Linked DNA regions of Arabidopsis thaliana. The protein of the gene in region 1 interacts with the protein of each later gene in a pairwise test. Each region holds a gene or a part of one and is shown on either strand. Other genes may lie near its edges.

Region 1 (3,504 bases):
CTAGCTCACTTTGTAGAACAAGTATGTTCTCTTCTCCTTCTGACAGTGTTTATTCATTGCTAGTGAAATGAGTTATTTCAAGCTCTTAGGCCTTCTATGCAGTAATTGTTCAAGCATTTATTTTATAGGGTTTATGCATTTTAATCTCATGAAATGGTACTGTACGTGTGTTGAGTTTGCTATTTTTGCTTATTTGAGTTATGGGTGAATATGCAGGTGGCTGTTGTTGTGGATTTTAAAGACCAAGCTACAGAACAGCAAACAATGCAGCAGAATCTCCAAAACATCAGCCTAAAAACTGGCGCCCCCATGGAATCTCACGCAGCCTCGGTGCTCACTCCTTTTGCATTCTCCAAGCTCCAAGAACAGCTTGTGCTTGCTGCTCACTACGCATCGTTCCAGATGGATGAGGGGTATCTCGTGAGGCACCACACAAAACTCGATGGAGGAAGAAAAGTGTATTGGGTTCCTCAAGAAGGCATCATAAGCTGCAGTTGCCAACTGTTTGAGTTCTCTGGGTTTCTCTGCAGGCACGCACTCCGTGTTCTCTCCACAGGAAACTGTTTTCAGGTCCCTGATAGGTATCTTCCACTTAGGTGGCGCAGGATCAGCACGTCGTTTAGCAAGACGTTCAGAAGTAACGCTGAGGATCATGGAGAGAGAGTTCAGCTTCTGCAGAATCTGGTTTCGACTCTGGTCTCAGAATCGGCTAAATCGAAGGAGAGGCTAGATATTGCAACTGAGCAAACCTCCATCCTCTTATCCCGTATCAGAGAGCAGCCTGTCTCCTCACTTGCTATCAGAGACATTTCTTCTTCTGTGCAGAGGAATTTTTGATACCACAAATGCTATGCGTGTCTAACTATTTTTAGATAACATAATTACTTTATTAACCTAATCTTACAAGATTGTAACTCTTATCTTAACTTATGCATTGTTAAAAATATCAATCTTATATTCGTTGACAAAAAAAAGAAAGATAAGTCAACCTTAAATTCGTCGTGTTCGACGAAATAGTACCATGATGTCCAAAATTCCCATTAATAAGATTATGCATTCAAATGAGCCCGTGATTCTCACAAAGCCCAAATCCTTACCAATACGTCAACGACAACAAAGATGGTCGCACAGAGTGGGTCCTCTCGATGAGCGCTGTCATACACGCGTCGATCATTCATTTGCCACTAATTAGAATTTTGAAAATTTTCTGGAGAGAACTAAAATAGATAACCGGCCAGATAATAGAATTGATTTACGACCGGTTCTACTAGTATCTTCGTTTTCAATTGAAGAACAATAGAAGAACACACTGATTATTTTTTTTAGGCTTTTGAACAAGATCGAGAATCGAATTAGAACGCTAATAGAGCAAGAACAACATTGGTCAATCTACAAAGAATATTACTTGAGACCAAGTCGATAACGAAAAGATGAACCCATTCACGAAATCTAAGAGGGGGGAGAAGAGAAACCCTAAATTGTGCAATTCGAAACGAAATTCTGCAAACCCTAAAGTTGGATTACTCATTAAAAGTCCAAGCATTCTCCTTGCGAATCTCTTCCTCTTCTTCAGGCGTGAAATCGTTCTCGATGTTGAAAATCTCTCGTACTTCCTCTGGTGTTTTGTCCTTGATGTAATCAGCAACCGTCTGGCTAGCGAAACCGAGAAGTCCTTCGAAGTTTAGGTAGTTGGCAGCGAGAATGATTTTGAAGATGGTCTCCAGATCTAGCTTTTCCATGAACTTAGCGTCCCACGAGTCTAGATTCTTCTTCGCCTCCTCGTCTTCGTCTTCTTCACTAGGTTCATTGACGTGCATCTTCGCGTACTCGATTATCTTGGAGAGGATATCCCCGGTGACATTTTCAAGCGGAATTGCTTCACCGGCGCAGTTATCCTCCATCATGTGCACTATGATCAGAAACTTACGCGCCACCGCTTCGTCGATCTCGAAAGACTCGCCATCGGAACTCGTCAACAAAATCTTGTTAGAAGACATGGTTAGACTCGCAACCGCTTCCTCGATCTCTGATGATTCGCCGGCGGACACAATCTCTTCGGAAGAAGAAGCCATTGTTATAAGGCAAATGAGTAATCCAGAATAAACCCTTACAAGTAGGGGAGAAAAGGAAATATAATGGATCAGAATTATGGGCCTAAAGATTTCATAAAGCCCAAACAACCTATACGGCTGTACTCAACAAGTCCCACTCATCTGATTCTAGAACATTCTGAAGAGAAAACCAAAATGGGATCATATTGATTTGGAACCGGTTTGTAGAAAACCGATCAAACTAAAAAATATCTTCGTTTGCAGAGAAACGTAACTAAACATAAAAACTTGTCTTTTGCCAACATTCATATAGTATAATGTACCGTCTTGTTCTATGGTCGTGAAACACATCAAACCAATATCAAATACTTTGTTTTGTTGCCGATTTGGAAAGTTTATTGTATATCTTCTAATCTTCTAAGCTTAACATTATTTTATTTTTTGGTACAAACCAGTCCAAAACATTTATTAATACACTCAATTAACAAGGAAATGATTCGGAATAATGGGCCAAACTATTACAAAGCCCATACACACCTTTAGGGATTTGACTCGAATAAGTCCAAATTTCTGTTTATGGAGGGATTCTAGAACATTCGGAAGAGAAAAAATTGAAATTTTGCTGAACCAGTTCTAGGTTGATTGGTTTTGATAATCGATCAGGAATCCGATTGTAGAAAACCGATCCTAGTACCTAAAACTAGAGTAAAATATCAAGATGCTTCGCTAGTAAAAGACACAAAAAAAATGCCGTCTTGGATGATGATCAACCAAAAGGTTTTTCACATTAGGGTTTTAACATAAATCCATAGATTCGTTACAGAAATGAAAAAACTGGAATGACTCAACTAGAAGAAACATATCATCAATCTCAGATTTTATTTCATTTTTATTTAGAGAAAAAGAACCCTAACTCACTTGGGGGTTGACTCAGTCGTTGAAGATGGCAGTGAAGAGAATGGCAACGGATGCAAGTCCACAGAGAACAGAGAGGAAGTCGAAAGCGAAAGATGAAGGACGATTAGCTCGAGCAAAGCCGTGTGCGACCTGCAACACAACGTAGCCCACGGAGGCGAAGGCGAAAGCATTGGAAAGAGGCTTGCTTGGAGCTTTCTCGAACTTACTCATCTGGCCGTGGAGGAAGAAGGAAAGCATGCCTATCACCGCAGTCCTGGGGATTTGCTCGAAGAATCTCTTGAATGCCTCTTGGTTTCTTTTGCATTGCTCCTCCTCTTCGCTCATGTTCATTCTCTCCATCAACTGGGGAAAACAAACAATAAGTTAATCAAAAAAAACAAAACAAAAAGGAAGATATGTGATTTGAGAGAGAAGAAGAGACAAGATAACGGCGGTGAGGGAAGTCTGCAATGAACCTGAACGAATGAGAAAGCGAGTGATGTAAACAAAAACAAAATCTGCCACGTAATTGAAACCAGCTGGTTCATTTTTTTTT
Region 2 (5,187 bases), on another chromosome or scaffold:
TGAATTGTTCTAGTGATAGCTTAACGATTGAAAACATATGCTATTGCTATGTGGTACCAATGACAATAGACTTGTTGTTTGGAATCCGCTTTCACGTGAAACCAGGTGGATGAGGATCCAACCCGGAAAGTGTTACACGGCAATCAAATTTTTTGCTCTTGGTTACAATAACAAATCTTCCTGTTATACAATCTTGAGAATGTATCCATTAAACGATGAATTCCAATCTGGATATAAGTACGAAGTCTATGATTTTACCTCTAATTCGTGGAGGGTTGTTGGTGTGAAACCGGCTGGTTCATACCACTGATTCAGACCAGAAGTGGCATGTCTATGAAGGGAAATACTTACTGGTTTGATGAAGAACATGGGCGTTCTTTTTTACTATGTTTTGATTACACAAGTGAGACATTCCAATGTTTGTCTCTTTCGGAGGATGCTAATACTCATTATCATTATTTGGTTTTATCAGTGACTAGAGAAGAGCAACAACTTTGTATGTTAACTAGATATACATGTATGGATAGCAACTAAGATTCAGAGTACCGGAGCCTTGTCATGGGCAAAGTTCCTAACAGTAACGAGAAGCGGTATCTACTATCGTCGTTGTTTTGGGATGATCAGTTTCTTGATCGACCAGGAGAACAGAGTAGTGTATTGTAACTCTTTCTTTTCCAACACCATACACATCGTGGGAGAGGATAAATATATAGAAGTGAATCATGATGTTGCTCCATACGAATCTCATAACCTATTTCTCCTCAGTTATGTTCCAAGTTTCATTAAAATCCAACAAGGTATCTAGTTCTTTAGTTGGAGTAGGCTTCAGGAATGCACCAAACCAATGTTCTAAATATCGGTTCTTTTTCGGTTCTTTTTCCTATGAACCCAGTGGAATAATGTTGGCTGGTTTTTGTTTAACAAGAATATATATTCTTGATCATAAAAATTCTTCTGATTTTTGGTAACAATGATGAATTCTGATTATAAAATCTCTATAAACGACACACCTTTTGGTGTGAGAAAAAACATGAATGAGAGTAAGTTTTATTAGGTCCCTAAACTCATCTCTTCTACCTCTTGCATTAACCCTAATCTCTATGAAAGCCTAAATCGGCTTTAAAAACAATGAAGAAACCAAACAATGTATATCCTCTGGAAGTTAACTCTGGCACGATTGCGATCAACATCCAAAGGCTTTGGTCAAAGATGGGAGTCTTGTTAAGAAGCACGATTGCTGATCAACATTTTCATTATATGTTCACCAAAAAATAACAACAATACTTAATAGAATTCATTAGAACGTATAAATGTTAGCTTGCTTTGGTATAAGAGATTGTGAAAACACACTCATTTATAAACAAACAACAATACTTAATGATTCTGTAGATATGTGTATGTATGTAAATGATTCATACAACGAAGAATTATAAACCAGTTTACGTCTAATTACATGATTACCATAATAAATTGATAACCATTTTTATACACTTCATTATTAAATCTTCTCCCTTCATCTCCACTTTACATTAGCACTGCCAAGTCACAAAATGCAAAGACATAAGTACACAGAAACCGTATCAAGAACACTAAGCTATAGCTACGTTCTTGTTTGAATGTAAAACCTATCAATATTCAATCTTTGCCTATTTTGGCACAAGAGATTGTGTACCCATGGATAAGTAATGGATTCTCATGAAACTAACGCAGAATGTTGATTGTCGTTTTACCATAACCAAAACAACAAAGCCAATGCAAGAAGACAATCTCATCTAATACTAGTGAAAGCGCAATTATAATGAAAGATAAGGGTGTGGATGATCATACCAGGAACATACCTAAGCAAACTCAACCACGGATCGAACCGCCAATCCGAGCTTCCTCGGGGTGGAAAACATCGGTAATAGACACCGTTGAGCAGAAACTAACAACTTTATGAAACTTATTAACCGGAGAAGGCAAACAAGGAACTCTTCTCCAACTACATATCCCATTCTCACCACCACCAATCTCACAAACACAAGCTGGAAATTTCTTATGACAATCATCATTAAACACATAAACAAGATTCCCAGAGCCAGCACATTTCAAACTCCTAAACTTGTCATCCTCATCATCACTATCAACTAATCCAAACAACAAATCCTCAGGCATAACCGCGATTTCGCTAAATTCCATCGAGCCTTCTTCAATACTCCAAAGATTAAACGAGAACCCACACATTCCACCAAGAACAAGCATACCATTACAAGAATTCAAGTAAGCAAACGAGAGTCCTGGTGGTTTAAGAGTTTGAACATCACTCCATGTATATGAATCCAAGCAAAACGACGAGATAAAACACGAATAGTTATCGAAAACATAGAATCTTCTCTTAAACAAAGCTGAGGTCAAAGTTTGATGATCCTGACCAGATCTGAAATCAGCAGGGAGTGGTGAACAAAGCTCCCATGAATCGAGAACAGGATCGTAGATTTGAACAGCTAATCGTTCTTCGATATCGACTAATCCGCCGATACGCGAAGATCCACCGACGAGGATTAGTTTGGATGAGTTAGATAGAGTTGTGAAAACGGTTAAGAGAGGATTGATTCGAGGAAATCGAACAGGGGAAGTGAATCGCCAATTAGGTTTAAGGATTGGTGAGAAGGAGAAGCGAGGAGCGGTGGTGAAGAGGAAGCGATTAGATCCGACGAGATGATCGGAGGAAGAGGAGGAAGGAGGGAGACGGAGCCAGGTGTTGGAGAGAGGATCGAAAGCGAAGGATTGGTTGTGGAAAGAGGAAGTGTTGTGGATACCGAAGAGGAAGAGCCATGGTGGTGATGATGGAGAAGGAGAAGGAGAAGGAGGAAGAGAGGTGATGAGTGAACGCCATTGTTTGGAGACGAGAGTGAAACGGACTAAGGAAGGGATTGGGAGATGATAGAGGATTGATTCTGTGACGTCGATGTTTAGATTGTTGAAGGTTGATGATTCGATTTCTGGATTGTTGTCTGACATTTTTTTGTTGTTGATCTTTTGCTTTGAAGATTGTTGAAGAAGAAGAAGAAGGAAGACAGAGAGAGCGTGAAAAGTGCAATGATGGAGAATGTGTGACCGGGAATTTGCGATATTTTTGGAAATGTTTTTTTTTTAACTTTATTAGTATTATGATCTATAATTACAAAGTTGTTACAAAAATGTTTTCTGCAAAAATAAAAATAGAAAAATCATTATATTTTTATAATTTTATCCTTCATTTCTTAATTTCTTAAAATAAAAGTAATGCGCAATATAATCTCTTACGGTCAAGTTTGTAAAATTTATCAAATCGAACTCTTTGCAATGTATACTTTTAATCAGGCTATTTTTAGAATTTTAAAAATCTAATATATGTTACCGTTAAATTTTTAAGTGATAGAGTTAAAAATGGTTATATTACGTATTACTATTCTTTTTGACTTCCTAAAATTGATATGCATTTTCTGAAGATGTGATGTAAGGTAAAGTTGAAAGAAATTAATGACTAAAATATTTTTTTGTTTGCAGAAAAAACTATACAAAACTTTTGGGGAGAAATTTATTCAGATATATAACATTTTAAGTTTTTTCTATGATTGTTTTGATATTTTGAAAATTTTGCAAAAAATAAGTAAATCTGTATTCATTTTTTTGTTAATCTTTATTTTTTTTGTGAATTTTTTTTGTTAATATTTATTTTGAATTGTTTATTTGAGTTTGAGTTTTATTGAAGAATTGAATAGTTATTTTCATGATGATTAAAATCTAATAAATTTTGACAATGTAGTAGTCCCAAAAACATTTTTTTAATATCGCTTACTTGAATCATTGTATTTTCTATATTTAGGAAATACTTTCAATTTTTTTAAAGTTATATGTATCTCTATTTTTAGGAAAAAAAATAGAGAGGGTTGAATCAAAAGTTCCAATGGGTCCACTGGCGTTGGTTGAAGATCTCTCCACGAGGTGGTTGAAGGAGAAGCCAAGATATTAATGTCTGGAGGGTTTCATTGTAGCATCTCATAACCTTACATAATAATCCATACATATGAATACTCTAGCACAAACTAACTACACGACTAAACATAGCTACTCAATGATCATTTTATAACAGTAGATTTTAAAGTATCTTTTCGTGCTATTCAGTTGTATTTTTGAGTACTGAATTAATGAAGAATGTGTAATTTGTTTTAGAAATCTTCTCTAGTGATATTAAACGTAATGTACATGCTATGGACTAACAGATTAGATGAACCACCGCAATGTCAATTTAATTGTGGGCGGGAACGATGGAGAAGGGGGTGAGGGTTTACATAATAAATCGAGCTGACAGATTTGTGTTGAAATATCTGACTAATTTAGTTAGAGATTCACAATGTAATGAATGTCTCTCTATCTTTGAATGGTAAGTACCAGTAACGTGTATGCGAAATCATTTAAATGCATGAGATGTTACAATTTTTCTCTTTGTCTTCTAAACACACAAGGTGAGGTGTTTTGGGCTTTTTGAATGGACTTATACATAGCTCATGATGAAGTCCACTACAAAATCTAGATCTGCATTCCATTTCAAGTCTATCATGCAATACGATTACGCTCCATAATTTTTTTTCCCGTCGGGTTTTGAAAATTGTGAGTTTTTTCTGGTCACTCTCACATAAACCAGTGGGAAAATACTCTAGAAGAGTTTAGAATTTTTAGGAATGGCAAAACCGGTTAATTTCCAAAACCGGTTAAACATTGTTTAGATACTAACATAACGTGATCTACCAAAACCATTCACGTTGTGTGGTAAAGACTAACCGTTCGTCCGTTCCATTCAACTAAATTTAGAGTTCTCTTTAGAATCATCGAACCGGATAATTTCCTTCGTTTACCGTTAAACGATTTATTTTCGTAAAGAATTCTAACTCCCAATCTTTTAGAAATTTAAGCAAATTTTTAATTCTACGCAGGAAGTTCTAAGCATCAAATTTTAAACCTAGTCTCGATACTCGGTTAATCCTCATTTTCAAAATCCGAACTATTCTGGTTCTGCCGAAACCAATCCTACACATACCATGAAGAGAAGATAGGTGTGGTGGTCTGATATATATGTCCCAAACCATACGACCCAATAACACGACTTTAACCGTTTTATGATTAAAGTCAAACAAAATTTACTATTCTATTTTGGACTGAAAGAAT
Region 3 (4,959 bases), on another chromosome or scaffold:
ATGTGATTTTGGAAACATAGAAAACCAAGCCGAATTTCCAAAGCATCTATCTAATTTGCAGTGAATCCATTGATCATTACGAGTTCCTCCCCAAGTGTAACTATTCCCTGAACTTCCTAATTCATGCATGTCACACCAGCTAAGCATATCTTTGAATGGTTGAAAAGAAGAAGACAGTCTAGAAGGGCCTCCTAACTTATCTTGATTAGATGTGATATCATTAAAATCACCTATCATACACCAAGTTGATTTCCTGAATTCACCAATAGAGCATAACTTGTCCAAAAGCAAATATCTGAGACTTGCCATTGGATTCCCATACACACAAGAAACAAACCAACTTTGAGAACCTTGAATCACTTTCAAATCCAAAAGATTCTTGTCTTCATACAAAAACTCAATTTCTAGGTTATTTTTCCAAAAAAGAGCGAGACCTCCACTTTTGCCTTCTGGTTCTATTGTGTGAAAATAATCATATCCAAGCCAAGTAAAGATTTTCATAACAAAAGGATCACAATTCATGGTCTCCATGAGGAACAAAATATCAGGAAAATGATCTTTTTTCATTTCCTTTAAGTATCGAATTGTCCAAGGATTCCTCAGTCCTTGGCAATTCCAACTAAGGACGCCCTATTGATACTGCGGCAGTTCACAAGGAACCACCGTAGAGTCCACACCCTTATTATCTTGAGAAATCCCAGAACCAACAGCTTGATTTCTTCTTTTAGCATCTGTGTCACCTTGAACGATGAAATTTGCATCCGGAAGATTTAAGTCTTCTCTACCAAGTGACTTCTTTCTCAAAGTGTAAACTTTCCTTTTTCTTGGATTTTTCTGCCTAATACTTAACCCTGACGAACTTGCTTCCTCTAAAGTAGTTTTAGGATCAGAAGATAAATCCATTTCCAAAAATCCAGACAAAGCTTCAGATTCATGACTCTTCCTTAGTTTAGCTTTGAATGGAAAAAGACCTCTCTGTAATTCCTTAGATAACTCATTCAAAGGAGCAGGAGAGGCTGGATAAGGAGAAGAATCCTGAGCATCCTTCTCTCTCTGCCAGTTAAACAAATCCCTATTTTCATTACTTCCAACAGGAACCATAGAGGGAGACGGAAGAGATAGAATCTTGGGTCTAGTTTCTGAAACTAATTCTCCTGTCTTTAAACCTGCATCTCTGATAATTTTTTCAAAATTTGATTTATTTCTTTGCTGAGAAAACGGACAATCACCTTTCTCATGAGTCAGACGTTGGCAAAGAAAACACCTCTTCCTGATTCTTTCATAATCAAAAGTAACTGAGACAACCTCACCAGTTGGAATCAGAACCTCTTTACAATTTCGTAAAGGATTTCGAACATCAAACAGTACCTGAACTCTGACATAATCCTGAGCTTGAGACTTTTCTAAGTCTAATTCCACTTTTAAAACCTTACCAACACAAGACGCAATCTCCTTAATCGTATCAGATGTGTAATAGTTGACAGGAATATTCCGCAATCGAATCCAAACAGGAAGAAACATCAGATAATCCTCTTTTGGTTTCTCCACCCATCGATCCATTATCACACACCATTCATCTTGAGTCCAAACTCCAGTTTTTAAAATTTCAAGTAAATCATCTTCCGATTTAAAAAGAAACTGAAATCTTTCTTGTGAAAGCGCAACACCTCGAACCCTTGAGTAAAGTCTCCAGATTCTGGGCATGTCCAATATCCAATTAGACATCCTTTGATGAGAAGGGTTCAGAAATCTTCCTAAAAGACTGCAGTTATTCCTTTCTATTGAGCAAAATTTTTCTTGATTAGGCAGAATCAGAGGAACATCCTCCATGATGGACAATTCTTGTATGGCTTTATCCAAATCCAGATTCATGATACACAAATGAGCAAGACCCTGACCTTTTCTAAGAAGAACCACTTCGAGAAAACCAACTGAACTGACAGACTACACCACAGCTTGATAGAACTGAACTACTCTGAAAACAAACTTCTACAAAGAAGAAAAACGGATGAAACCACGAAACAACCTTGACTAGCAACAAAGCCGACAGAACACGGAGAAATCTTCGGACTGTGGATCCACTCTATCCCAGACAGAACTAGTGTAGAGGGAGAAGTTTTTAACCCCAAGTGGATTGGGACGGCAAGAGATCGGCGAATCTTATCTTTCTGATTGGGACGGCAAGAGATCGGCGAAACTTATCTTTCTGAATGAGCTGCTATGAAAGAGAACTCTGCGTTTTTTTCCAACAGACTCACATACACAATCTATAAAGTATGTCTATTTCTTTCGTTTACCGGACGAATTTAGAAAGAACAAAATAAACAGTCACAAATTCCAACCTGTCGTCGTCGTAGCCCCAAACCCTTTCTTTCTCCGGCGGAACAATCACGAACTCAGGCGAATCCGATGGATAGAGGAAAAATGAATGTATCACTCCCAACTGATCTCATTCGCGAGATCTTCGCGAGATTGCCTTCGAAGTCAGTGGCTAGGTTTCGTACACTGTCCAAGCAGTGGGCGTCTATACTTCGCAGTACTGATTTCACCAAGCTGTTCCTGAGCAGATCCTCGAATCGTCCACGTCTCTTGTTTGCTGTTGAACGATACAAATGTAATGAGTGGCAATTTTTCTCATCGCCTCAGTCACAGAATCGGTATGAGAAATCAGCTCATTTAGAGTTTCATAGCAAGTTCTCAGGAGATGTTAGCCACTACATTTGTAGCTATGCCTCAGGTTTGCTCTATTTTCCTGCTGTGCATATCGTTGATACTGAGACGATTGTGATTTGTAACCCTATCACCGGAATGTATACGGGCTTACCTGTGATCATGAAGGACAGAAGGTCTCGAGGCTTTTTAGTGTTTGATCCCGTTGATAAGCGATTCAAGGCTTTTGATACTCATTTCATTCTAACATTAGGATCTGGAGAACTCAAGTGGAGGGAAAAGAATATCCCTTGTCCTCTGTATGAGCGTTGTTCTTCGAATCAAGGGATATGCATTAATGGGGTTTTGTATTACTTAGCTAAAACTGTCTTAGTTGAAACAGTTTTTGGATTGACGTTTTTGATAGTTCGCTTTGATGTTAGTTCTGAGGAGTTCAAGTTTATTGACGCTGCCCGCTTTAATGATCGTCTAAAGGATCCTACTAGATTGAGTTTGGTCAACTATATGGGTAAATTAGGTGTGACTGATTGCAACTGTGTTGACGCTGGTGGAAGACGTACCGTTGAGTTGTGTCTGTGGGTTCTAGAGGATGTTGAGAAACTGGAATGGGTGAAGTATGTCTACACTCTGCCTGAGAATGAAGTCCTTGCTTCCTGCGAATTTTCAGTTGCTGGAGTGACTGCTACTGGGGATATTGTCTTGTGTATGAAGTATACATGTAAACCGTACTATGTGTTCTACTTCAATCCCGAAAAGAAAACTCTGCAAACTGTTGAAATCCAAGGCTTTGGAGCTAAGCTTGAAGAGGTTGAGAATCGTGGTGAAGTTTTTGCCTATGTTGACTATGTAGAGGATCTTAGTCTAAACGATGCGAAGCAACTCAAGTCAAGCATTTCTCATGTCAAGAGTCTCTGCCCCTGCTGTCAAAAGTTAGTGCAGCCTGAAAACATCGGGGAAGTGGTATGATGATGGTGTGAGTAGGGAGAAGAAATGAAAGATACATCAGTGAAGATGAAGACATAAGAAGAAGAGAAGATTATAAGAGAGTAAAACGATGAGGCAAGGAATAAGAAAAAAGCCATAGGGCATGTCATCTATGCGTTTATGTTCTTTAGTTAATAGTAGTATTATAGGCGTTGGTAAAAGTCTGTGCGAGTCAAATCTAGCACTCGTAAAATCGTACGTACCTCTTGACTATCTTTGGTTAATCTAGTTTTCATATATAATTCCATCTCTTCAGTTCTAAATCAATAAAACATACATAATTGTAGAGTTTGATGCTGTCTCTCTCTAGCACATTTTTTGCCTTGTTACCATCATCAGGTTGAGGTCTCTGCAACTCGGATCCATCTGTGAAGAACAAGCGCAGCAGAACAGGTATGAGTATTTTGCTAACCTAGAGAGTGGACTGGTGTTGATTTGAGTTTCTAATCTGATCTTTCCCAAATTAAAAAAAGTCAAGACTTAGTTTCAGAAAACACAAAATGGTAGCTGCAGGTTCACCATAACTGGTTACTAAAACGTATTTGGTCTTTGCATATTACATAAGATTATAGTTAGGCCATCGTTTGCTACAACATATCTACATACCGACTTCATTGGCACGCGAGAACAAACCAAAAGTGGCAAAAAAGAAGAAGAAGAAGAAGAACAAATGGCTTTACAACGGCGTTATGCATGCCAATAGCTTAGCGCAGACTTCACGTACGTCTCGAGAAGGGTCTGACAAAGATGCTTTGGACAGAACTGATCTTGCTTCGAGCAATCCCTCTGAAATGTTTTCCAGTATCACGTCTTCACTCGCCATCAGTGATGCCATTAGTTTTGCGCCAGCCAGCTTTTCCTACGCAACAAGAGAATAATGTTTGACTTCCGCATAACCTTAAATTCAAGGCAGTCATAAATATTCGAGTTCAGATGTGGATAGATGCAGACAGTTTCGGATATGGATTGTGGGATTCAGAAATGTCGACAGTAGTCACTTGAGAAAGGAAGTTTCATGTCTTAATGTGAAGCTCTTTGTCTACTTCCATACCATTGTATACATGTTAGAAATAAGTTTAATAGATTTCTGGTACCTTTTCGGATCCTTGTTCAAGAAATCTCAGGGAAAGCTTCAGCAGATCAGATGAAACCGGAAGAAGTGTGGACTTCAGATGATATGTGGCCGAGAATAAGACCTGGATACAAGCTGCACGGACCTCCGGTACAGATATGACCTGCACAAAATTAAGGAATTTTGTTGAAAACTAAACAAAATGCAAACAAATTTAGCCAAATCCGAAATGA

Evidence for each region.
Region 2: the proteins of SK18 (region 1) and AT3G24760 interact in a two-hybrid assay, tested with the Arabidopsis thaliana proteins (one large-scale study listed by BioGRID).
Region 3: the proteins of SK18 (region 1) and AT3G57580 interact in a two-hybrid assay, tested with the Arabidopsis thaliana proteins (one large-scale study listed by BioGRID).

The regions. Positions count from the first base shown.
Region 1 is NC_003070.9:3,354,168-3,357,671, reverse strand, and holds SK18 (E3 ubiquitin ligase SCF complex subunit SKP1/ASK1 family protein), read right to left. Parts: upstream 1,998-3,504; coding exon 1,521-1,997; downstream 1-1,520. Other genes in the region: FRS11 (FAR1-related sequence 11), read left to right, coding at 1-21, 217-837; AT1G10225 (transmembrane protein), read right to left, coding at 2,982-3,308. UniProt on the Arabidopsis thaliana protein: Involved in ubiquitination and subsequent proteasomal degradation of target proteins. Together with CUL1, RBX1 and a F-box protein, it forms a SCF E3 ubiquitin ligase complex. The functional specificity of this complex depends on the type of F-box protein.
Region 2 is NC_003074.8:9,037,921-9,043,107, reverse strand, and holds AT3G24760 (Galactose oxidase/kelch repeat superfamily protein), read right to left. Parts: upstream 3,095-5,187; 5' UTR 3,001-3,094; coding exon 1,849-3,000; 3' UTR 1,839-1,848; exon of another isoform or gene 1,828-1,838; intron 1,536-1,827; 3' UTR 1,015-1,535; downstream 1-1,014.
Region 3 is NC_003074.8:21,319,477-21,324,435, reverse strand, and holds AT3G57580 (F-box and associated interaction domains-containing protein), read left to right. Parts: upstream 1-2,056; 5' UTR 2,057-2,409; coding exon 2,410-3,636; 3' UTR 3,637-3,945; downstream 3,946-4,959. Other genes in the region: AT3G57570 (ARM repeat superfamily protein), read right to left, coding at 4,331-4,513, 4,749-4,889.